Drosophila melanogaster: one gene and its partners. The protein of the gene in region 3 interacts with the protein of the main gene of each other region in a pairwise test. Each region holds a gene or a part of one and is shown on either strand. Other genes may lie near its edges. The genes, in order: La, CG5103 and CG13474.

Region 1 (11,205 bases), on a different chromosome or scaffold from region 3:
TGTGGTTTAAGTTTTTATAATTTTAATTTAAACTATTTTTATTTCTTACTTTTTTCCTTTCCTTACAAAACAAACAAACAAAAAACACACACACAAACTTATTTTGCCAAGGTATTTGATCGTTTTTCTGTGAGCACACTGCTAACCTAGATCGATTAATTAATTTTTATGATTTTGTATGACGCAAGCAAAGCCCTAGAAAAATCGAGTGAACGAAAAGTTACCAATTATCGCACTAAGATCAAAAAAATCAAATAGAAATTTTGGTGTGGTGTGGGCCGAAGTAGCAAATAACAATTCAAAATTGACGATCGGTTGAGGAGGCACTCAAGCACACACAATGAACCACACAAATATACAACAAAAAAATCTCGAAATATTTTGTAAAAACAAATGTGAATGTAGAAATAAAAGAAAGTCTACTGCAATTCGCCCCTAGTATTATTTATTATTATGGCACCCCGTAGCGGCTTTTAATTTTGGTACTAACTTAATTTTCTCGGCTGCCAATAATCGTATAAAAATAATGTATTTTTAACTTGACAAAAAATTACGCTTACAAACAAAATAAATATGTGAAAAACGAACAAAATTAACTGCTGCCCAATACGAAAATGAAACCCGATCAGTGGAGCCAGCAAAGCAGGTGCCGCCTCCAGAAGAGCCATCCTTCACGAAGGACGAGTACCACAAGTTCTACGACACGGCCCTGGAATGTAAATATTTGCTAAGAAACAGCACGTAAAACCGTAATGCATTGCCATCTTGCATGATTGTCCCCCCTATCGGATATCGAAATTGCATTTAGACGCTACACTAGTATATATCACGCTACTAAACAGACAGCTTGCTTTTGAAATACACATCTGACATTTAACATTTGCCGCTTTTCCCTGCGCCTTCACTGTCCTTCATGTATGAAAATAACTCATCCGCCCCGTTGACCCTGACTGAATGCGTTCTCCTCTCTTTAATTGACAGCCTACGACCTGGCCACTCAGTGCGAGTCGAGGAGGGCTTCCTTGCGCCGCCACACCATCGTTGGATGCCAGAGCAACCTGGACGAGACGCACTCAATGCCGCCCACGCGGCCCGAGTCGCGTCAATCGGACGACGTCAGCAAGGAGGTGAGTCCGCCAGCATAATGGTAATGATGATATCGAGGAAAGAGTGTGCCCTCTACTTTTGTATTATTGATTCGAGAATAATACATCTGTGGTGGGACTTCCATACTTTACAATATGCTGGACTCTTTCATTGTAGACCATTTCTCCATTCAAGCAAACGTTTTATTAGCAAATGAGAACAGTAAAGCTTAAACCCTATTCAAACTTTATTTCTATATCTACCAATCCGTTGCAGACGCCTAAGAGAAGTCCTGCGGAGCAGACCCATCCCTCAGACGAGGGCAGTTCAACATCCTCGCTTGGGCCATGGAACAAGTCCTTCATGGACAAACAGACGTGGATGGAACGGGGTGACGATCGGCTGTCCGTAACGCTGGCGGAGATCGTTCACATCCGTTCCGTCATGACCAAGGCGGAGCTGGAGGGCCTGCCGATGGACGTGCGCGTCAAGGAGGATGTTGAAAAGCGTCGCGTCTGCTTCCTGTGCCTGCGCACTCGGTTCTCGTTCTTCGGTCCCTGGGGCATTCAGTGCAAGTTGTGCCAGCGCACGGTCTGCGCCAAGTGCTATACCAAGGTAGGTACCGGGTTAATGGTTAACCATAGGGCTGCATATTTACTATTTTCGATTTCTTCCCAGATGCGAATTCCCTCGGAGCACTTCCGAAACGTGCCCCTCGTGCTGATCTCGCCATCGCTGCTGTCCAGTCCGGCCAGCTCGAGCACCCCATCACCCTCCCATCATGCCCAGCAGGCGCACTCATCCTCGACGGGGAACATCATGGACGACCAGTTCCCCAAGTCGTTGATAGAGCGTCTTTTGCGCTCCGAGTCAGATCGAAAGGTAGGCCTCCTAACAGCAGTCCGACCAGTAAACATGGAACTAATGAAATTGATACCTTTATTCCAGACTCGCAGCACTGTGGGCAGTGCCCCATCCTCACCCAAGCACCAAAGATCAAACATGAGCACGCCCGGCATTAGCGTGGGACCCGGAGCATCCTCCTCCTCAGCGGCCGCCACTGGACAGGCCGTGGAGGCACTGCACGACCAGGCGACCATGTCGTCCTCGTATTCCGCGGCCATGCGACCCTCTGGCGTCCACCAGCAGCAGAAGCAGCACTACAACAACGCCATGTCGAGGAGCATGGAGGGACCCCGAAGTCTGCCCGTGCACAGTCCAGCATATCGACCGCTCTCCAATAACAGCACCTTGGAGAGGAAGTGAGTTTTTTGTCTGGGTTGTGGTGCACCACATTTATTAACCGTAATTTATTCTCAGATCCCGCTTTTCGAGGGGATTCAACCTGTTCTCCTCGGGCAGCCATCTTGCCCAGACGCAGGAGCAAAAGGAGAACCTGCGCGGCGAGCAGGTGACCGTGTGCAACGACTGCCAGGGACTGGTCAACGAGATCACGAGCTCCGTGAAGCAGAAGCGCAGCTCCGCACGGAACCGCACCATTCAGAATCTCACCCTGGATCTGACGCCCGTCTGGAAGTAGGCGGGAATCAGATCAGAGATAGGATAACTCCGCAGTGCGTTTGAAGACCGTAGGATGGTTGCAATGGAGTTCTAACGACTGACTTGGCTCTACATCGCTATACATACTACCATTGACTACATGACACTGATGATGACTCATTGACAGACAACAGACGCTATTTGATTACTGACCACATTCCTTACCTGTGAGAATTTTCAGTTTCAGCGCGGCTGTTTTAGGGCCTTCAGAACGCACTTGCACATTTAGCTATTACATACATGCATAGATATGGATTAGATCGACTGTTGTACACTTAAAAGGATAGAGCCTCGAGGAGCCTCGTTTGTAAATCGTGTTAGTCTAGTGAATAAGCAGAGGAGAATACCGAGAATTCCTGGCTGAAGCTTTGTACATTTTCTGCCGGCTACAGAGAGATCCGCTTGAGCGCACCCCACCACTTTCTATTTATAAAGGAGCTAACTTACACGTCGCTACACATTATATTATCGCAGATCGCAACGCGATGCCGTTGTTTATAACTGTTCAAAGTATGCGTAAAAGTTGATTAAGTACATGTAATCATAACTCTTGTATCCGCATATATCAAATGCACATATATTCGACCTTACTTGTACCCTGCTCCTGCATTCGTTTCAGCACGAGCGACGTATTGATCATACAGAATACATCGATATTCGCAATACGATTCCCAGTTCAGAAAAAAAAAATTTCGATTGTTGAAATAGTTATCCGAAAATGTTGTGAAACTTTTGTGCTTGCGCAGATCTTTGTTTACGTTGTGAAGTTTTCGTTTTGTTCCCCTATTAACTACAATGTCAATGTATAACGCAAGAACTACTTGATAGCCTAATTTAATTTTAGTCGGCGTTGCTATGCAGCCCAAACTATTTAGTTAATTCGCTTAGTTTTAATTCTCCCTAAGTGCGTCTAAGTTGTAAGCGACGTCTATATAATTGTACAAGCTGATGATGCAAAGCAAACCCCTAACGAACATTATATTACCTAATTGTAGCTGCTATTATAGTTTTTCTAACCGTTTTTGAACAATTTTGTTTGATTTATCTGTAATTGTAAATGCATTTAAGTACTTGTAATATTAAATTTTATGCTTTTAAGTTAAATTCATTTACAATAATTTAATACACACACGAACACACAAAGAGATCGAAAATACACAAAACAGCAATAATAAATGAAAATACAAACTAAAGAACAAGATTCAGGTTTTACACACTGGTCTTTATTTGTAGCTTTCTGCTGAGGGAAACAATTGGATTCATAGTCTTCTATGTAAAATAAATTAGAGCCCACCTCGTTATTTAGGTAACAGACTATACATGCATATTTGAAGAATATTCTGTACCTGCAACGATTATTTTGAAAACTAAGAGAAAGCAAGTATTATATATGTAAGGCCTTAAAGCTAGGTCAACTAGATCTACCGAGTAACAATTAAGCTTGGTCTACTGCGATCAAAAGACTCGGGTGGCGGAATATAGGTGGATGAGTTAATCCCCACGCGCCTTCTTACCACCGCCATGTTTGTGGTCGTTTCCGCCGTGGCGCTTGCGATTGAAGCGCTTGCCCTTGTTCCTGGTGAAATCGCGTCGCTTCTTCATGAATTCTATGGCCTTGTCGATGAACTCCTTCTCCTCCTCCTCGGTGGCCTTTCGCAGCGACAGAGAGACCTCATCTTTGAACTTGAGCTGTGGATAGGCAAGTACAATTACGGATTAGCTGATAAGGGAAAAGTTATAATCCCAATTCTGATTCTTACCTTGCCTTCCTCCACCTTGGCAATGTACTTTTCGGCCGCATCGGCCTCCGTCAGCCGCACAGAGCCCTTGGTTTCGCCCTTGGCGAACTCAATGTAGGCCACCTCGAAGTCCTTGATCTTCTCGAAGGCTTCGCGAATTTCCTCGCGGCTAGATGTCTCCGGAGCGCCCTCGAAGACAACAATGGCGTTCTTGGGCAGCTCGAAGGCAGGCTCAGGCTTGGCCTCCTTTTTGTTTTTGCGCTTCTCGTTCTTCTGGGCGTATTCCTCCTGCTTCTCCTTAAGGTAGTCCACCTGCCATTTACGCAGCAGCTCGCGCTCCTTATAAACGATCTTCTCCTGTTCGAGGAAGGCCTTTGCCTGGTCCTTGGTCTCGAAAGTAAGGAAGATGCTGCCCTTGAACTTGTACGACTTGGTGGGCTTGTCATAGTGCTTGCGCATGGTCAGGTTGACCACTTTGTCGTAGTTGGCAGCAAAGTCGAGCAGTTCGCTAATCTGCGAATCTAGGGGGAAGCCCTTGGCGTATGCGGTCCGCTCCTGGATCTCCTTGCGCCGCTCTTCGTTGTGCTCTGGAATAGGACGCTCCGGATGGCGACGCAGGCTAAGTTTGTCTTCGCTAATCTCCACGAGGCCCTCCTCGGATTTGTTCAGGGCAGCCACGATCTCAGATAAGTCCGTGGACAGGGAGGCCAATCTCTTGAAGGTAACGAGCACCGACAGGGGCACCCAGCCGTCCTCGTTCTTGCCGATCTGCTCGCGCAGAAACTTGTCCCGATTCAGATTGGCATCGCCGAAGTAGTACTCTACCTGCCGGATTATGGCGCGCTCCTGTTTGGTGAAGCCGCCAGCGGCTTCCTCTGCTGCGGGAGCCGGGTCCTTCTTGGCGTCGCCGTTCTTCGCCTCCAGCACCTGCGCCTCGGCGGGCTGTGCTACCTCTTCCTGGGCTTCCACACTCGGGGTTTCAGCAACTTCGGCCATTTTAGCTGTGAAAATTTCGCAAAGAACTGAAATGTGCGCTCACTGAAACACGTGTGAAATCGGTAAAATGAGTCACGGCGTTTGACAACACTAGCCCCGAAATGCCGTGATAGAGATGCACAGGTCAAAAACCGTGACTAGCGCCAAGCATTAACTTGAAAATGCAGTGCGGACATCTTGACCAAAGACCCTAGAATTCTAGTGTCTTTGTCTTGACTATGTATTATTTAAAGGCTTTGAAAATATACGTTTGATTATTTAATTTTTGTAGTAGTGGTAATGGTAATATATCAACAAGAATTAAAAAAAAACCTTTACTCATTTACAATTACCGCGATATTCAAAAACAAGAACATACCAAACTAAAACTTATAATTCAAAATATATGTGACGAAAAGTGGTTTATATTATTTTTGAATGTGATTTATCAATTTACTCCAAAACTATCGATGCAAAGTTACGGAATGCTCCCCGATAGCCCTATCGATGCCGAGGACCTGTTGGCACGTACACATCTTTAGTTTGGCTGCGGCCGATTGCAGCCCTGGTTTTCTAGGTTTCTATTTTGGTCGAGCGCTGTGTTTTATTTATGTTTGCCATGGGAAAAGAGAGTTGCTAAAAGTGCCTAAATACGTGCACCTGGTTCACAAACGGGCGCTCCAACCAGTTGACCCCAGCCCCACGGAATCGGCATATGAGTAAACAAGTATTTGAAAAAAATAGTGAGAGCAGTTCAAATCGCGTCGGCCTAGAAAAGAAACCAAAAAATCGGGCAATAAATAGTGAAAAGTGTGCTCCTTTTGCTATATAACCAATTGTGTATATATAATAACAAGGGTGGATAAGTCGCGCAATCAACGAAACTTGGAAAACTAAACTATTAGTCACTATTCTATTATTGCTCAACGAACGACAGGGAACAACAACAAACGGATCAACAAATGTTTGATAAAACGCAACGCAGCTGAAGGTGAGCGAAAAACTAAAGTGGTTAAGAAAACCCTTCAGACAGCTTGGCTGCAATATATCTAGCCGTGGAAATGAATCAGGTTTTCCAATAACTGCTCGTCTGGCCAAAGGTTCAGTGGCATCTGAAAATTCACCCCACTATGCGTCATCCAAGTAGAGGCATCATAGACATCCCCACAACGGCAGACACAATCAAGCCTTCCTATAAGAACCGCCATGGGTTTTTACATACATATATGGCATATATAATAATAGAGCGGGTTTTCTTCCTTATTTCCCCTTGAGATTTTAATATACCCATACTGCTAAATTCTTCATCGATGAAGATATCTCTTACAAGAAGCATTTAGTTGACTGAATTATTGGTTTTTTTTTTTTTTTTTTTTTTTTTTTGTATTTCAACACTTTCTTTTAAGCAACATATTTATATAGAAAATCTAATACATTTTTAGACACATGACAAAATCCTATTTACGTTAAAAACAGTTTCAATCGTTTAGTCCCAACAAAGGACATTTAAAGCTTAAAGCTCAAGAATACATTTTATGTAATGACTCCTGTACTTTCGGCACAACTGTTGTTCAACTTGCTGCTGCTCGTGCAATAGTAATTTGTTGCCGGTTTCTGGAGTTCAGAGGTCCGCCTGCATAATCCATTGGGTCAATAGCAGGGCTCCTCGTGGGGCATCCGTTCCAGCTCCTCCCGAAAAGCGTTTGTTTGCTAGCACTCGCTGCGAAAGTAAAATGCACTGCCGGACGACGACGGAGGCACGTTCTGCCTGCCGCTGCCTGCCGCATGCCACCTGCCTCCCGGCCCCAAACTCCCCCATTGGATTCCCAGAACCAACAAGCATCATTACCCGAACAATTTTGAACCGCTGCCAAGAGAATTTCCTATGAAAGGTGGTGGCAAGCTGAATGCAAATTCATGCTTTTCTTTACTCTCACATGATCTTGGTTTCGGCCACCAGGTCAAAAGCAGTTTGCAAAATAAATAGCTACCCTAGAAAATATTATTTAAATCAAATTGAATTATTTCATGGTTTAAAAAGTTATATTTGTTTGTATATATTTATGTGGGGAATGTGAAAAAGTCTAGGGTAAGATCTCGTCGAACCACTTGGCTCTTTGCGCCCTATGGTTGTTATTCTTACGCTTTAATGAAAGCATGTTGGCAATATCTGTATGTGGGCCTGTGATTTCCCAAAACAAACATTGGCCGTCAAATCATGCGCCTGATTTTCACTCGTGTCTGCTGGGAAACCGCGTTTCTTCATATTTCCGCTGCTGACCTCGTTCTTGGTGTGTTGGTGTCGAGAACAGCGGATCCCCACAAGCTATTGGAACTCCCACTCGCTCACCTCTTCGGTGTGCCCACAGCCACCGATGACTTCCTCCGCCACGAAGTATCTATAAATACGGCGAGCGACGCAATCAAACTATATTACGTCCATATATCTGAGGAAATGCATCTCAAGTGGCGGCTGTGCAGCCTGTAAATCTCGGTATTGACACATTGAAGAGGCCTTATTGAGTGCAGTTCGGCTGAGCTAGTAGGGATAGCGATTCGGATCCGGTCCCGACCAGGCAGAACTGCATAAATTTGGTTTGTCTTTGGCTGACTTTGTTTGTCTTTGCCGCTGACTTTGCCAAGCAAAACAATCCACTCGCCTTTCTTTTACATCTCTCGTCTTTGTTGTTTACGTTCCCCAGTGTCCCACGAAAATAAACATTCGGTGATTTGATTTGGGGTGCTCCCCTCCGATGGATGCGACGTTTTACTCGCCAAATTGCGCATTTCCGGAAGCGGCAGGGATATTCATTTGAATTTCGCCTTCGGCGACGGATCGTTAATAACCGAAAGAGTTGTCTCTTATACTCAGAGAGCGTGGGCCCGGTGTATCTGTATCTGAAACTTGTATCTGTATCTGTATCTGGATATGGGGCCGCATAGCCGATCCGCGCGGCGCCATGTGCAAGTTTAATGAATTAATTAAAATTTGGTTCCGAGAGCTTCAATGGGGTATGTATGCATCTTTGTATGTGCCCACATATCTGCGTGTGTGCCGCTCGGTATCTGCATTTATGCATCTGCTCATCTGACCTCCGATGCATCGTTTGGAGCACCACCACCTACGGAAATTTGATTGTGCCCGGCCATGGACTTAAAGTGATTTCAGGGTTAAACGAAGCGAAGGAAAGTGACATACATTCGGCTTGGGTTTGGCGCTGCACTTATAAAGCATATTTTTTGCCGACATTCTGATCTCGGCAGATTTGAATACGAATATTCTGTGGAAAAAATATTTAGTTCTTGGTCACTCTAGCTCAAAAATTCTCCGTCGGTCTATAAGCTTCAACATCTTTATTCAGTAGAGTTTACAGTTCCAGCCTCCTTGTTTGTCTCAGAATGAAAGTCTTTGGGTTAAATTTGATTTATATTCTATCTTAAATTCTAAAAATATGACGAATTTAACATTTCCTGAGGCCATAATCCCATTAAAACCACAATGTGTGTCGCACGATTCTAAATTTTAGATTATACAAGTCTACACATTCCATAAACGTTTCCTATGATTCACGGGCATATATTGTATGATCAACAGGAAACTGAGCGGAACAGGTGAATTTTTCTGAAATAATTCTAAAATGCTTGAATATGAAGAAGTTTTCGATTGATGACTGAATCCACAAACATGGAAGATCTCACATCCAATAGGCAACCCACATATATTTTGGCACAAATATTTTTATGTGGTTTTTTTGAATAGACAATACAAAAGCACAGCGAGTGTCGCTTATTTCTCAATGAAATACAATTAAGATCCTCATTTTGGAAACGCAGATGAAAAGGTTGTCCCCGGATTCATATTTTTTGTCACATCTCTGTTGATTTTTCATGAAAATATGCGATGTGTCCGGTCGAAAACGCTCGCGTACATGTGAAAATATATTCGAATCTCCTGCGATCCGACGAGACTCTCAGAAAATGACTGCGAGAGTGGCACTTTCGGTTGCCGTGGAAAATTCGTCTGCCATATGTCGCCAGCTTTTCGGTATTTTCCGCTTTTCTCGGCAGTTTCGCTGAAGCAATGAACGCGTGCGGTGCATCGTCTGAGAGCAGAAAAACGGCGAAAAACGTCAAATTGTCGTACCACAATTTATTGTCGAAAAAGTATATATCACCCATCTATACAAAAGAGTAGCGGGTATATGTATTCGAGTGCCTAGATGGCGAAAAAGTGACATTTTAAGAAATTTTCATGCGTTTGTGCAACCAAAACGTGACCTTGCCTTAGGGAAATATTCTCATCAGCCTATAAATCTTGACAATCTCATGAGAGCGGTAATAATTCGTGAAAAACTACACGTTCCAGTTTGGCATATAGAACTTGCGATCCGCCAATATGTACACTTTCGTCTGTTTTTTATTTTTAGTATTCTAGAAAACTATTTGGGCAAAATAAACCAAGTTGTTCATATTTTTGCGTTTACTCATTGCGGCAATAGCAAACAAATGTGATGCATCTATTTTTAGAAAATATATCACTTTTTAACATTTTCAGTCCAGAATTGAATTTTTGCATAAACATAGGAATTCCTATATTAATAAAAGCACACGTCGCGCTGCCAATTTTAAATAGTACCAACGAATAGACTAGGCTAAAGACTTTTATAAACGACTTTAAAAATAATGACATCCACTAACTAGCCCCCTAGTGCCACTCATACAAGAGACCATTTCAATTAAGCTTTGGAATATTGGGGGTTTTTGTGAGTAACAATGTCGTAATATAATTTTCGAGGCATTCGAAAATATTGCGATTTTACTTCTTTCTATAGATATCTGATGTATAGAGTGCACTTGCCTTTAGAATCCAATGTGCCAATCCCATTTCCGTCAACGAAAGTGTTTAACGATTGAATGAAATGTTGATCTCTTAAAGAGTTGTTCGAACAAACCAAATAAAAAAGGTCGTAAATATTTTTAGACGCGACGTGGCCGTTGTTTATGATTTATATGTTGGCCTGTCCTGTCCGGCTATTCAAATTGTTTTTATGGCCCGAAAAGTTTTTCTTTCACAATACGCGCGAGTGATTTTTACCCAATTTTTTAATGGATCCTCGCAGCTTGTGTGACCTTGGCCATCGTGTAGCGCACGAGTTTTCCAGACACTTGCAGTAAACTAGGAAAGAAAAGCCGGAGGGGAGTCGCCGGAAAAGTGTCAAGAAACTTGCGCACGCGTTTCTCGACAGATGTTTTCAAAATGTTTTCTTCTTTGGGGCCATAATTATTGCTCGGCTAATTCCAAGAGGCTGAGGAATGCCGAGCGATCGACGATGATGTAGCTCATCGCTGCAATAATGCGTAGGTGCTGTATATAACGAGCGATATGCTCACATATGCTTTTTCATTGAGCAAATTGCCTGGCTGATGTTTCAAGTTCAATACCCATCGCCTCGTTTCAGTTGAATCAATCTAGTGCGCACTCGGATCAGCCCTGAACAATCCGATAATGGATCAGCCACTGGTGGTGCAGGCGGAGTACTCCTTCATGGGCAGCAATAACGACGAGCTGTGCTTCCAGAAGGGCGATGTCATCACGGTTACCCAGCGCGAGGATGGTGGCTGGTGGGAGGGAACGCTGAACGATAAGACTGGCTGGTTTCCCAGCAACTATGTGAATGAGTGCAAGGTGCAGCTGCCTCTAACGGAGACCATAAGGCCGCCGGAGGAGATCCAGGAGTATCGGTCTGTGGTGCTCAAGGATCTGCTTGACTCGGAGCGCGCCCATGTGGCCGAGCTGCAGGGTCTGCTCGAGAATTTCTTGGAGCCCATGCAACAGACGCAAATG
Region 2 (11,870 bases), 3.6 Mb from region 3:
AAAACTAATTAAGAACATTTTCACCCAGCCAACCCACAACAATCCTTTGGTTTCTCCTCGTGGCTAATCACAAAAACGTGACGTCATTCGCCACGCCTTTATTATGATTTTTATTAATGATTCATGCATGCCATTATGCGAGTATATACATATATTTATTTATCCCAATTTGTCGGAGAGACGACAAAGTGCGAAAGTAGCCGTGAACTGGGTTTCAGTGTTTTAATCCGCGCGTTTAATTGAAATTGGCTGCTAAGCAGAAGCCCCGAAGGTCTAATGCGGGTTCCAGAAGTCAAAGTGGTGGGTTAATGCCAACAAGACCTTTGGGCCTCGTCAAATCTTATAGATATTAATGATGTTTGGACACACAACCGAATTACGAAACAATTAATTATTTGATTTATCCCCTCAATTCTTTATTTTGTCTTCTTTTCGCATGACTTTGCGCTCGGAATGTCTAATTTGCGGCTTGATGGGGTTAGTCTGAACCAAACTGTTTCTTCACCCGCATTATTCGTTGCTTTTTTTCATATATCTATATCTTCGTAATAATTATGCATTTTTAGAGTCAAGAAGCGTTAATCTTTTAAGTTATAACAGCGAAAGTTAATGGTACTTTTTCGCAAGAATTTGAATATATTTAAGAAAGAAATATCGTTCGTAAGCTTTGTTTTTTGTTTTTAAGGTACAAGTAAACAACTTAATAACCCATACTATCTCGCCAGACTGAAAATGAGTTTTATCTTTAGTCAATAAAAAATTTGAATGCTATCAAATATGTGAAATTTTTTACGTGACTTGCCAACTTTTCCAATAGGAGATTGCAACCCCAATAATGAAGATATTTCTATGCTTTCTATAGTGTTTTTTATTACCCGCTGCGTTTGCCCCCATAACTCAGGATTTATCTGGGGAAAACAATCTGCGACAATAATTCTTAGGCCTGACATAATGTACCTCAAATGTTTTATTCGTGTTTATCGGCGGCAATTTTTCCACGTCTGCCGCGGCAGCACTTTCGGCCAAACTTTGTTTTTCGTTTTGATTTTCTTTCTTTTTAGCAATTGCCGAAATATGGCATAATATTAGAGCCCACTTATTGACTTAATGGGCATCTTGATAGGAGGCAAATAAGAAATATTTGATATATGGGCCAAACATCACAGCGTGTTGGTGTTTTTTTTTTTGGAATGAAAGACTTGTTCTAAGTTTCGGGGTTGTTGGCAGTTCGAAATCCAAAAATTGAAAGTGCGGAAAAAGATTTTCGCTACTGTGACATTCACAAGATCATTAATAAGGATATCTGTTCTTACGGATCCGTTTTGTATTCACTTATTGCGCTGCAAGGAAACTCCGTTCTCATGGTTGGCGGCAATGCAAATATTTATATAAGACAAAACTTTTGTTGCCATTTCGCTGGGCTGTCTGGGCGAACAAAAGGGTTAATGAGTTCAAGCAGCTACTTAGACGACCTGATTAATGATCGGCAGCTAGCTGCCAACACATGCATGGCCAATACAACAGAAACGGAGGAGCACTTTGCATAAGATCATTAATTAAATCACATACACACACAAAGGATATGCCAAAGAGAGCGAAAAAATATGCTAATTTCCAGGCAAACGAGAATAAAAATGTAAATCCCGAATAGAAAAATTCACGTAATTTCCAATTATAAATTCATCGAAATGACATTTAGGCCTGGGAGAGGAGATCTCTCACCTTGTCTTGACTCGACTCAACACCCCATCATCAGTCACCTCACCTCAGCCTTGTCATAGGAATTAATGATTCTATCCCCTAAAAGCACCCAAAGGGTTACACAGCCAGCAACGCTTAAAAAAAATCATAGTTAAATATAATAAATGTTTGTTTTTACTCGGCTCTATGCAAATGCTCGGCTCACACTCAATTAACTTTGTTGTCAATCAAATGCAAATATTGTGGTTCCTTGGAAAAACCTTCATCCATTGGCAATTGCAATTTGTTTGGCTTTTTTTTATGCTGCCCCGTCGCTGTTGTGGCTCATTAGAATTGCTCAGTTATTCCATCAATATGCATTTGTTGTTAATCGAATTTTCGTAGCCACCGTTCTTTGCATACCTAAGTGGTTTTTTTTTTGGATTTCACTGACGGTTGTGTGAAAGTCAAAATAAAGAAAGGAGTTTGGCAAATGTTTGTAAATTTCCCTGGGAAAGTTTGGTTAGCGTGACGCCCTCTAAATGTGTGTCTTCAAGGAATTGCCGTATGTATAAGTATTTTATGTTTGAATCACATATTCATAGAATGCATCCGAAAGTTTATGTAAATCCAGCTTAAGTCATTTAGCACCATTTTAAAATGCAAGCAACCATTTTGTTATTTAAATGAAAGAAATGTGAAATTTATATTAACAATTTTACTAGACCTAAAATAGTCTCTAGGTATCTGTCTAACTTAGTTCTAAAAACAAAATACATGTTTGCACAATAATTATTCGGATTAATTATTAGTTTCCAAACTGTTTTACATTCACTAATGCTTTATACCAAGGCCGAAATTCAAAAAATAAGTCTACTTTTTCGACATTCAAATTCCTTCACTTAAAACCTTTAAATAACCAATTCACAAAATTGTTAGACAAGGCTTTAACATACTCCTCTCACATCTTGTGCATAATAGCCTTTCACTCAATTCCTCCACTACCGCGAACTCATACCCTCTAATTCGCTTCAACCAGAATGATCAATCAAAATCTGAATTTTAATGTTATGCGGTGCATGAAACCCTAACAACAGGAACAAGAATAACCATATCCTGCGAGTGAGTAACAACAGCCAAGGAAAAAGGAAAACAAAAGTGTAAAAGAATTTCCATTGCGACACAGGGGTGCGCTCTTTTGGCATTTTTCTAACCCCTTTTTCCAGCCGGTGAAAGGCAAAATATTTGGAAAATTAAAAAAAAAAGACAGAGGAGAAAGCAGAAGAGAGTAAAGTGAAAGGGGGACTGACTGGTAACCAGTAGCTGCCACAGGAAAATAGTAAAAATTGTAAAAATCCTATTAAGCGTTTCCGGGCGAAACTCCTGCTCGGTGTTTGCTTTTGACACTTCTCTTTTTATACCTCATAGTTCACAGATATTTGGGTATATATGTTTTAAACTTCATAGTTCAACAATCGCGGATTTTTGTAATAATAACTATTGAAATGTGTTATTTTTTCCCCTATATTGCTATTTTGACTGAATTTTGTATAAAATTTTATTATTATTTTTCTAATTTGTCCAATGTTTTTTTTTAAAGGGTAGCTCACTGTTGAAGCCTCTCTTTTTTTTACTGACTTCGTTCTATTTGAATATTGGGGATTGTTGTATTTTCTGGCGGGGGCGCTTGGCTTAAATGTCTAATTTAAATGCATGTGCTTTTAACAGTTGCAGACAGAGATTGATGATTGTTTTTGGGCTCTTTTTTCACCGCAGATAATTGCTTACAAATTTTGCGGCACAGATTTTCCTCATTAAATGATATATGTTTGTGTGGCGGTGGGGGACATTTTCAAGCAGGTGCAGTCGTTCCCTCATAAATCTACCCCAAAATCACACATCCAACTCCTACACATGTGTGGCGGGAACAATGGGCACTCCACATATGATGTCATCTAATCTATTTTCATTTTGTTGAATTTATGATCTCTAACCAATCTAGTTAGCCATGCTCACTTAACAAAAATTGAAAAACTTCTCCGCTATCTGTGCGTCCATTGTGTATTTGAGGTGTATAGAATTTTTAAAGCATTTATCGTAAATTTTGATCGAATCGGAAGGGATACTTTGTCCACTTGGCCAACCCTTAACCACACACAGAGGCACATCCTGTTGTCCTTTTGAACCAAACCATCAAACAATATAGAGTACTGATTAGGAAGCGAAAAACAATAAATGGACCTCTGATGCCTCAGAGGCAAATGAATAAATGGATGAATGCCACATTAGACGGCAACGGATGTCATTACGGATAATTTAAAGTGGCCTTTGGTCAGGCGAGATAGAACTAAAAGAAACGGGAGTGATTCGACCACGAGATACCCTTGTTTTTTTACAAAATATTTTTGTTTCATTATTAATATAAGGCTCCTATTATATATACTTGTATTTATCTTTTAGTTATACATATATAAACAGAAAAAGTTGTCAGTTAAGCTTATAACTAGAGGAACATATATTAAATAAATTTTTTTATAGTTTTGTAATTAATTTTAAAATTTCTCCTGTTCCTTAGGGGTAATTCCCTGTTCAAATAGTGTCAACTATTTGCCTGATAATACAGTCAAACCGTATCGAAAACTAAATCAACAATAGGAAGAGGAGGCTATCGATTGGATGCGCCCCTGCGAAAAGGTCACTGCAAATAAATATGTCAAAATCGAAAAGTACCGCCAACGCAGTAAATGATCCTCTGTGTTAAGTTCCTGAAATTAATTCCGCCCAATTGATTTTTGGCAAATGCAATTTTTCTTTGAACTTCAGTAGCATGTAGTGCATTTCACGTTGCACGGTTATTAGTTCAGGTAGAGCGATATATAATACCGCAGCTGAAGAGCACGTATCAATGAAAAAGGGACAGGTCACATTTAAAAAAGGGTTGATTTCTTATTAAGGGAATATTTGATTTATTAAGAAGTGGAGTGGTTCATATTTCGGTCCAAAAACAAAGTACTTTGAATACAATAAAGATCATTTAATTCTCATAAAAAAATAAATACAGGTGACTAAAATGTCCAACAATGCGATAATAGTTTTTTTTATTAACTTCTTGCTAATTTTTTATTCAATTTGCATGATAACCAAAATATAAATATAGTTACAGTTATAATTTGTGTTGAGAGAGATATTTAAAAGTTTTGATTACGGAAAGTACTTGAAATTATAAAGTTACACTTCTTAATTTTTTCGATTTTTTCGAACATTCTGCTCACTTCTTCATGATGGCCAGGCTTGCTTTGTATATATTTCTGGAGGAGACCCCAAACATGTCCAGCAGAACAGCAGGAGGGCCTGATCTCGGTACAGTGGTAATATAGAGATGCTTGACCACAAAGTTTCGATAGTCGGCCAGAGCACTGAGGACCGCCTCGCCCAATCCGCCTTGCTGGTAATGATCCTCCACCACGACGATTCTTCCACGACACAGCTTTCCATGCTTCACGATTAGTCCGACATCGAGGGGCTTCACTGTAAAGGGGTCGATCACTCGTGCCGTAATGCAATCCTCCTCCAATCTCTCCGCTGCGGCCAGGCACTCGTACAATGTGACGCCGGCTCCAATCAGGAGCACTTCATCCGAGGGCTTCTGGCGCACCACTTTGCCCAGTCCCACGGCAAACACCTCGTCATTGTTGTAGATCACCGTTGTGCTCGGATACGTTGTGCGGATGTAGCACACGCCCTTAGTATTGGCAGCCAGTTCCACCGCCCTCTCCGTGCTAACTGCGTCCGTGGGATAGAAGACCGTGCTCCCGGGAATGCTCCTGAACATGGCCATGTCCTCCAGTCCCATTTGGGAGGGACCATCCTCGCCGATGCTGCAGCCACAGTGGGAGCCCGCAAAGTTAACATTCGTGTGCGAAATTGCGCCCATGCGGATCTGATCAAAGGCCCGTGTGAAAAAGGTCGCATACGTCGAAACGAAGGCCACAGTGCGACGTCGACAGGTGGCTCCCACGGCCACGCCCACCAGATTCTGCTGTGCGGTGAAGCACTCGATGAAACGCTCTGGAAATGCATTCCTCATCTTGTCCGCATACGTCGAGTTCTTTGTATCGCCATCAAGGGCAATTACCCGAGGATTATCAGCCGCGATTTTGGCCAAGGCGGTTCCGTAGGCTAAGCGTGGGGCTACCGAATCTCCCAGCCGATAATTGGGCGGACTGCACAGCATTATATTGTTAATATGCACCTCGGGGGCGTGGCCGCACTTTCCCACCTTTTTGGGTGTCAGGCGGACGTTGGGATTTGCGATTTTCATCTGAGGAAACACATGATACCATTAACCATACCGTTAATGCAATTAATTGGTCTTTCAATCATACCTGCAAATGCTTGATTGCAGATTCGGCCCTCTTACCCAGTGGCTGTGCATGCATTTCTTCGATTCCTTCGATGCCCAGAAAGTCCTTTCCCTTAGTCGTCCTGGCTAAAAGAGCCGTGGGCTTACCCTTGGTGCTGGCCGCATTAATGAAGGCCTTGGCCAGCTCATCAATATCGTGGCCATTTAAGACTAGGGCATTGAACCCGAAGGCGTCCAACCTCTCCCGATAAACCTCCATTTCAGTGCCTATGTCCGAGCAGAAGATCTTGTTCATATCGAAGATTACGCACAGGTTGTCCAGGCAGTAGTGGCCGGCAAAGTGGAGCGATTCCCAGACTGCTCCTTCGGTAGCCTCGCCATCGCCCACGATCACATATGTACGATAGTCGGCCTTGTCCAGGTGTTTGCCCACATAGGCCATTCCAGCGGCCACTGAGATGCCCTGTCCCAGGGATCCGGTGCTCACATCGACGAAACTCAGCCGTGGAGTGGGATGACCCTCTAGATCACTGTCCACCTTGCGCAAATTTCGCAGCTCCTCCACCGGGAAGAGTCCAGCCTCCGCCCAAACGGCGTACAGAATGGGTGCAGCGTGTCCCTTGGACAGAACCAATCGATCGCTGGAAGGATCGCGAGGATGCTTCAGATTTAGGCGCATCTGCTGAAAGAACAGCACCGTCATTATCTCGGCCAACGAGGCACAGGACGTCGGATGTCCCGACTTGGCCGCCTGTGTCGAGGTGATCGAGTGGATCCGCAGCTTTTGGGCCACGTCCTTCAGGTTCTGAACGACCTTACTGTCCAGCTTAGCGTTCGACATTTTCACAACCAAATTTTGATTAATTTTGAGAAACTAATCAAAGACAGACTGTTGTGCTGTAATTTTTACCACATTTCAAATTTCCCTTCGATTGGCGTAAAAATTATATAATGTATTTATATAAGTTATAAGTTTTATTTTAACAAATTGGTAGAAGAATTTTGAAATGTTTAGTCCTTTTTTCTTCCAATTCCCACGTGTAAAATGCATGGATGGCTTTTTGATTTGATTTTGTTTTTTTTTAGTAATTGTACATTTTCAGCAAATTGAAAGCATCAAAACAGCATTCCCACACGAATCACTCAAACATCCAAGTAAGGTCATTACAAATCAAAAGTCGTAAATATTTTGACGGCAGAAACTCAAAACAGTAAAAAGTTTCATTCAGTGAAGGTTATATAAAAAAATGCAGTGTGAATTTACGGTGAAAAATTGCAGTTCTCACAGCGAGAAAACGCATAAGTAAACATAGAGTGCAGGACCAACCCTCTGGACCGATAAATGCCCATCAATGAGCCAAGAGGTGCAGTTTTGAAAACAGTTTAAATTTGATTTGGGTGCGAATCGGAATTGCACGAGGGTTGCATTGGATTCTAACCCTTTCCCCGGATCATCGAAGCGTTCCGTCTGTCCGAGCGCTAAATAAATCATTTCTCTTCGATTAATTCGCTTGCTGACATGTGCACACTCACATGTCCCGACTGAAGGGTTTACTTTGAATTTAAAAAAAAAGGGGTTTACACATGGTTTCGGCTAAGCGACCGCTACTCATGTCAAATTTTGGCTTTTGCTCTCCTTTGTAGTGGCATGGAAAATTGTCCATGGCCGTGCAGTCATAAGTTATAAATTAGTTAAGTTTCTTTCGAGCACTTTAAAGTCAGCCGGAGGGTTGCTTAAAAAAAGGGGTTCCCTCCACACCACACCCTTTCCCTTTTCCACGTCATTGAGTTTGCTTCCTTATGTGTGTTTTTCAAAATTTTTAAGTGCATTGATTAATTTTTATTTTGATCGGTCCGAAATCAATATTGTTTGCAAATTTCCAGTAAATACCCAACCGAAGACACGGGCCCAGCAGTTGGTGTGTGTAATTTGTCGTCATTCGCAACGCCCAGCGATATTTCCCTGATGTTTGCCACTTAGCAAAGGGTTCAGTATCCATTGCTAATGTTTCGAGTATGAATTCAAGCGAATTTATGTAGTGGAAGTGCTTTAAGAGAGTTTCACCAGATGATAACCGTGGGAAATGGGGATTATAGCATTGACATCTGATTTGGAGATTTCAAGGGGCCTAATCAAAAATGCTATTAAAATAAGTGAGTAATTTATAAGAAAAATTTAAAGATGATATACAATATATTTCCTGATCAAGGCTCTGGAACACTTCGCTGAACCCTCCGCTTCGGTAGGCACATACATCGTTTTCAAAGAAGAAGCCTCTGAGGACTGCGAACCCTCCTTCTGGCTCCTTCTGGCTGCTCAGAATCCTCCTTCATCAAGATCTCGTTGTTTCCAGTAGCAAACCCAATACGCGTTCGTCTTTTCTGCCATTTCTGAATTCAGTTGAGCTATGGAGCGGGTTTCTCAGGCAAGTGAAGAAGCTCAACAGGTGCCAAGTAACCGAAAAACTACCTTAAAAATCCAAAAACGCAAAACATTTCAAGAATAATAAAATTCTTTCAAAAATAACCTGTACAATTTAATTTAAGTAACAGCACAAAAACCACCAAAATGTATTAACCATTGTATATAAATATAGATTTTAAGCTCACGTTATAAACTATACTTTCATCTCAAATAAGTAAAAAACAATATATTTTAGACTTAAGTCTTTTATATAATGGTAAACATTTTTGCCTGGTAATAGTGAAGTATCACATTTTATACGATTTATTTTAGGACTGATAAACAATTCAATTAACGATTGACTGCCATTCCCAATCGAGGATGTGAAGAGCATGAAAAATCGCATTCGGATTCGGAATAAATTTTCCCAGGCTAAGCAGGCACACTCGACTTTAATAGGACATTTGACTAAGTGGAAGCGATTGACCTATGTCCAAGCTCATTTATTGATTCCGTCCATTTGCATAGGATAGGACCTATCTAGGCTTCCCCTCCCTTTGATCTGATTGCGACGCGTGTCCTGTTCGGCGATGCAAATTGGTCACACCCTTCAGATGTCAAAAGAAATATCGACGGATAGACGACAAATCGATTTGCATGGCAGGGCAGTAATAATGAATTTTGCCCAGGGTGACATAATTGTGCGAGGACCAGCTTGACCAGCCTGCGTTCCATCATAACTCATAATAATGAAGTGCAAATGCCTATGTATGTGCGCTACCCTGGGTATAATCGGCTTTCAATTCTGAACAAAAGGACTCGGCCTCAGAAGTCACGTGCCTGCTGTTTAATCCGTGTCCTCTACTTTCCTTTCTTTTCCACGAGTGAAAGTCCTGCCGGCGAATTTGTTACGCTTTGATTTCTCCTTTTTTTTTCGACGTGATCCCTTTTCGCCCTTTTATTGTCTTGTCTGGACATTTGGTCGCTACCTACTTGAAGTAGAAGTCGTGCCCTTGATTAAATTATATGTGTTTATCCCCGGGCTAGAAGTGAGTCGCTCTCGTGGCGGAGATAATTCTATCTGTAGGTTTTTTTCCACCAACCGATTCGGATTGAGATGTAGGCTTGGAAAAGGGTTATATGAATTCCGAAAGTGGTGCATTACTATCTGGAGTCATTTCAATGCTCTATTGTGATTGCTGTTGCATTATTAAGTTATGATGGTTGTTACACGATTTCTAGGGTTTTCATACTAGAAGGACATTAAATCATGTATAAAGTCGCATTTTAATTACTTACGCTGAAGCCATTTCAATAACGATCGCTTAAGGCGGTAAATTGAAAGTAACACCACTATTTGCTCCAAAACTCCCAAGGAGACGCTTAAATATCGCCTAGACTCCCAACAGTTCGAGCACCGTTGGTGTCTAATGATTGGCCAACTACCAAAATAGGTGGCACTGATTTGATGGGAGCCCGGTGGTCTCCGTTTTCCACTTCTTCTACAGCTCCCTCCCCGCAAGTTCTGTCCCTATGTCCGTCTCTATTTTCAATTTCGTTAATGACCCAAAAGTGGCGTAAACCAATTTATACCGAGTCGGAGTCTCTCACACAAGACAAATAATAGCGCAGCAGGACATTGACAACAACACCCAGGCAATATATAGGAATGCACTGGGAAAATATCAGTCAGAAATTGTACGTATTCATTATTTTATTCTATGTTAAACTCTCATGTCATAAAATAACCCGAAAAAAATACTGGTAGAAGATGTTATTTTTATTTATATTTAAATGGAAGTGAGAACCAGATATTTAAAAATATTCATAATATTAATTTAGAAATTAGATTAACTTTATTTTTTCACTGTGGACATAAGTGAAGCAGATTGGTGGGTAGAATCGAAATGTAGAAACGAGACTGTCGACCGGTAATTGACTGCCGCTGATGGTCACTGGCCAAAACGCTGATAATGAAGCGCAATTGTGTTCAACTGATGGTCAGAAACAAATTTCATTTGAGGCAATTAATCATATTCGGGTACCGAAGGAGTTACAAACTCATGACTTCTCTGTTCTACTATTTTAAGGTGTTGCCTCGTAAGAATAAATCATTGGAAAATTCCTTCTTATCCGCGTTGTTTGTGGACCCTAGACAACCTCCTGTGGTTTTGTGGGTGTTGACACACGTTTTTTCGGCGGGAATAGTTTAGAAGCCCCTAACATTGAGTTGGGTCTATGAATCATGAGATTAATGAATAGTCAGTCAGCCGTAAATGTCAATCCGAGAATCTCAAGAAGTCTTTACTTAACTTCACTTTGCCTCGGTCTTTAACATCAAACAATTAACCAGAGCTTTCATTGTCGGCACTTTGATATTTGATTTGCCTCTTTTCCTGGACAAAGCAAGTGAATACAGTCACAGATACTCCTATCCCCTCTTAAACGAATGTGGTCGTTTGTGGCCATATTGCGTTTCACTTTCGCTCCACATACAGGCCTTTCGCATTTGGGGGCGTTGTTTGCCTGGCCCTTTTTCAGCTTGCCACATTTCCGACTTGGTTTTTGCACGAAACTGGGTCACTGATGTCGCCCGTTTGTTTGTCCAATGCGAGGGTTCCCTCACGGGTTAGTGTACTTTACTGCTAAAATCAATAGACCAGCTCACTGTAATTAGCTTTGACTTAAAGTGCATGCCATGCGAAGTTCAGGATCTGGGAAGGTGGAACATTCCTACTGTGAGTCATTACCATTGCTGGACTGCAAAAAAGTTCTATTGAGAAACTTGCTCGACAAAGTCTTCATCTTCAGCAGTCATAGTAATGAAACGTTTTAAGTAATGATCAATACCTTGTTCTTGAACTTATTTTAAGTTTTATTAACTTTTATTAACTCAACATTGTTTTCTAAGATTATAAATTGAAAAGGAAGTTGTTATATTTCTTTTTTTGGTTGCCTTTATTGTTTAAGAGTATTATAATATAATATATATAATTATTGTATCAATTCCACCATCTCACTCTCGGGGTTCCTTCCGATTCAGCCCTGTTGCACTGTTGATCGCGAATATTGTAAAAACATACAACAATTATTCGTTACAAACCTGGATTTCCACTACTTATATGACTAGCTTGCATTTGAGGAGTAGCCATAGGAATACCTGATGCTGGATTATAGTTAAGTGTGGAACAAGGCATATCGTAGGAATAGGGACTTGAATAACTGACGCAGGTAAAAACAAATAGTTATATTGCATGGTTTAGTATTTTGAATATTTCTTACCTCATTTGACTGAGAGGGTAAGCGCTCATATTCATGTCGCAGGCACCACCCATGCCATAGACCTGACCACCGTTGCCCATCTCAACCAGGCCAGGGGATCCAGCTGGACCGTAGATGTTACAGGGTTCGGTGGCCAAGCCC
Region 3 (2,859 bases):
GTTTATATGAATGTATTGGCGAGCGGACTAACGAATATTGCATATTATTTACTACATGGCGAGTCTAATATACCCGTTCACGAGTAACAGGTATACGAAATAAAATAATGCTCACAAATATATTACCAAGTACAAACACAGAGCCAAGTTGGCAAAGCGTTATGGAAAAGTTTCCTCTGGTCCTGGGCCACTTTTGCATTACATTATCTCAAGTTTTGCGCTGGCAATTTCTCATGTTTTCCCCCAACATATTCTCTCGCATGTCCGTATTTGTATTTACCCATTGTCGTGCTCATAAACATGCAGCTGACTTGTTACTGTCCCACCAACATCGACGTCATCATCGTCGTCGTGCTTAACGTCAGGCGCAACTTGTGTCGCAAGAAAAACTGAGGCTCTGATAAAAAACTTTGCCTCATTTTCATGTCAGGCCAAATGAGTTTTGGAAAGTTCATCCCTGCACCACTTTTTTTCGCTGAAAGTCATCGGGCAACTCGACTAATGGTGACAGTAATTTTTAATAAAACCTGCCAAGTGTCGACACAATTTGCAGTTTACACACGCGCGCAAGTTTGATGGAATAGTTGGAGGAAATTTGCATTCCTAGTGCCTGCACCGCTTCCCCTTGGTATCCTGCGAGTTCATAAAAATGCGATGTGAAATCTTATTTTGACGATCAGCACAGTCAACGATCCTTAGAAAATGGGTAAAGGTACCCTCGAAGAACCGCTTCAGCTTGATAAACTTATAGCGCACATCGACGTAAGATTCATCCAACTCCTGGGCACTTCTGGCTCCGTAGAGTTGGCTTAGCATGTCCAGCTCGGAGTCACAACTTCCTATAGACGACCCATCCAAGTCCGTGGACTCGCTATTGCTCAGTTGAAAATCCTCAGCGAATGGATCCATGGATATGATGTAGCGTCCGGGAGCATTGTACTTCTCGATCATGGCCCCTACGATATTCAGACACTCGTTCAGATCCTCCTCCATGGAGCTACAGATGTCAAGGGCATCGTCGATTTTTGTAAATTCCGCTTGTAGTAGCATGATTTATATTTAACTCAGTACAGCTCTGACAAAAGAATCAGAAAGCCCGATATCTTAAAATCATTTTTGTAGTAAGTTTTTATTAATTAAATTTATTCAACATAATTTTTAAAACATTATTTTAAAAAAAAAATAAAAAAAATTGGCTATTTGAATTGCTTTATTCAACAATATCGTCTTATACATCATAGATCAGAAATAGATGTAGAACACTATTTGTTTATCTTTACAATTCGTTCCATGTCTTCCACTTGGTCCATAAGATCGTTCATCATGTTAATTTTCAAACACTTTTTTGAACAATGAAGCATTTCATTTGTTTGCTTGATTTGATTCTCTGTCTGATCCTTGATCCGCATATCTAGTTCCTTGTGTTCAAGGGTACTTGTTTTAGCTTTATCTAGATTCTGAATTACTTCTTTATTGAATGTATCGAGATGTTTAACAGCGTCCATTTTGCTTTGCTTCTTTAAAGCTAAGTCCTTTAACTTTCCCTCAATGTCCTGTCTAAGCTCATATAGCTCCTTTTTTAAACCATCCATCTCATCAGGAGAGTATAGTGAAGTTTGAATTTTATTATTATCTTTCAATAAGTCATCTTGTCGTTCTTTTAGAATGCTCAAGGTCAAACTAGCTTTTATAAGATCTTTTTTAAGTTTTCTTGCCTGCTCCTGAAGTTTTTTATTATCATCGTCATCATGGTTATGGCCCAAATTTCTTAAGGACTTATCTATGCCCTCTTTTATAGAATTAAGTTGATTTGAGTTGGCTTTTAGATGATCATTGTAAGTTTGGTTCATTTTATTAATCATATTTTCTAGTTTTCCCATATGCACGATAAGGTCGTCGATTTTTTTACAGCATTTCGGGAATTTATTTAGTTCTTTACGCAAGATTCCTATTTCCTTTTCCAGCTCCGCAATACTGTTCTGTAGCTTTTCGTTAGATGAACAAGTTTTAATAATCAAAGACTTAGAATTTTTGGAGTCTGTGGGCGATCCCTCAAAACAATCTTTAGAATTTTGCTTAAGCAAATACCCCATTTTAGATTGGATATTGGTTAGCATTTCATTATTTTCCTGGCATGTGTTAAGGGTTACATTTAAATTTATTGAGGGTTTATGAATGTCCAAGACGCCTAACTTTTTGAAAAGCGTTTCGGCGAGTTTCTCTAAGGTTTCTGCATTTTTTTCCAAGTCAAGAAAAATAGTTGTATCCATTGGAACATTTTGATGTATGTAGCTTTGATTGCAGATACCAAGAATATTTTTAATATTTTCAAAGCGGTGACTTAAAGTTGTCTTTATGTCTTTTGTCTTTTCTACATTTTCCTGTATTTTATCTTTCAGTTCTTTTAGCTGATTTTCTATCTTTAGAGACTGGTTATATCCATTGCTTTTGATTATCGATAATTTATTTTCCAATGACTGAAACGATTCTTTTAGGCCATCACAACATTTCGAATTTGCTTGACTATCACGAAAATATTTTTGTAGCTTCTGAAAAAGTGGTCTTATTTCTTCAACTTGTTTTTCTATGTAGCCTAGATTCTTTTGAATAGAGTGACTTTCATTTAATTTTTCAGATTCTGTCTCATTTAATTTATTTGGCAGATTCTTGATTTTTAAATGTAGATCCTTTTTATAATGTTCTATTAATTTAGTGAAGTTTTCACAGCAGCTTTTGATGCCCTTAGAAACGAACTTTTTAATTTGGGGTAAAACATTTTCCACGTCCTTTTCCAGATCTCCGCTGATTTTCAGCTTTTCTACTTGACTTTCACTTATTTCATTTATCCTATTGACCTTT

Evidence for each region.
Region 1: the proteins of CG13474 (region 3) and La interact in a two-hybrid assay, tested with the Drosophila melanogaster proteins (one large-scale study listed by BioGRID).
Region 2: the proteins of CG13474 (region 3) and CG5103 interact in a two-hybrid assay, tested with the Drosophila melanogaster proteins (one large-scale study listed by BioGRID).

Annotation. Positions count from the first base shown.
Region 1 is NT_033779.5:20,344,544-20,355,748, forward strand, and holds La (La autoantigen-like), read right to left. Parts: upstream 5,470-11,205; 5' UTR 5,382-5,469; coding exon 4,407-5,381; intron 4,336-4,406; coding exon 4,138-4,335; 3' UTR 3,850-4,137; downstream 1-3,849. Other genes in the region: spir (spire), read left to right, coding at 630-716, 982-1,127, 1,363-1,701, 1,765-1,968, 2,035-2,348, 2,407-2,626; RtGEF (Rho-type guanine nucleotide exchange factor), read left to right, coding at 10,867-11,204. UniProt on the Drosophila melanogaster protein: May be involved in transcription termination by RNA polymerase III. Binds RNA and DNA. Binds to precursors of RNA polymerase III transcripts. May play a specialized role during fly development.
Region 2 is NT_037436.4:18,287,345-18,299,214, forward strand, and holds CG5103 (uncharacterized protein), read right to left. Parts: upstream 6,919-11,870; 5' UTR 6,885-6,918; coding exon 6,066-6,884; intron 6,002-6,065; coding exon 4,949-6,001; 3' UTR 4,781-4,948; downstream 1-4,780. Other genes in the region: CG13700 (uncharacterized protein), read right to left, coding at 11,487-11,500, 11,551-11,669, 11,730-11,870.
Region 3 is NT_037436.4:14,696,051-14,698,909, forward strand, and holds CG13474 (uncharacterized protein), read right to left. Parts: upstream 1,056-2,859; 5' UTR 1,051-1,055; coding exon 604-1,050; 3' UTR 501-603; downstream 1-500. Other genes in the region: CG17177 (uncharacterized protein), read right to left, coding at 1,263-2,859.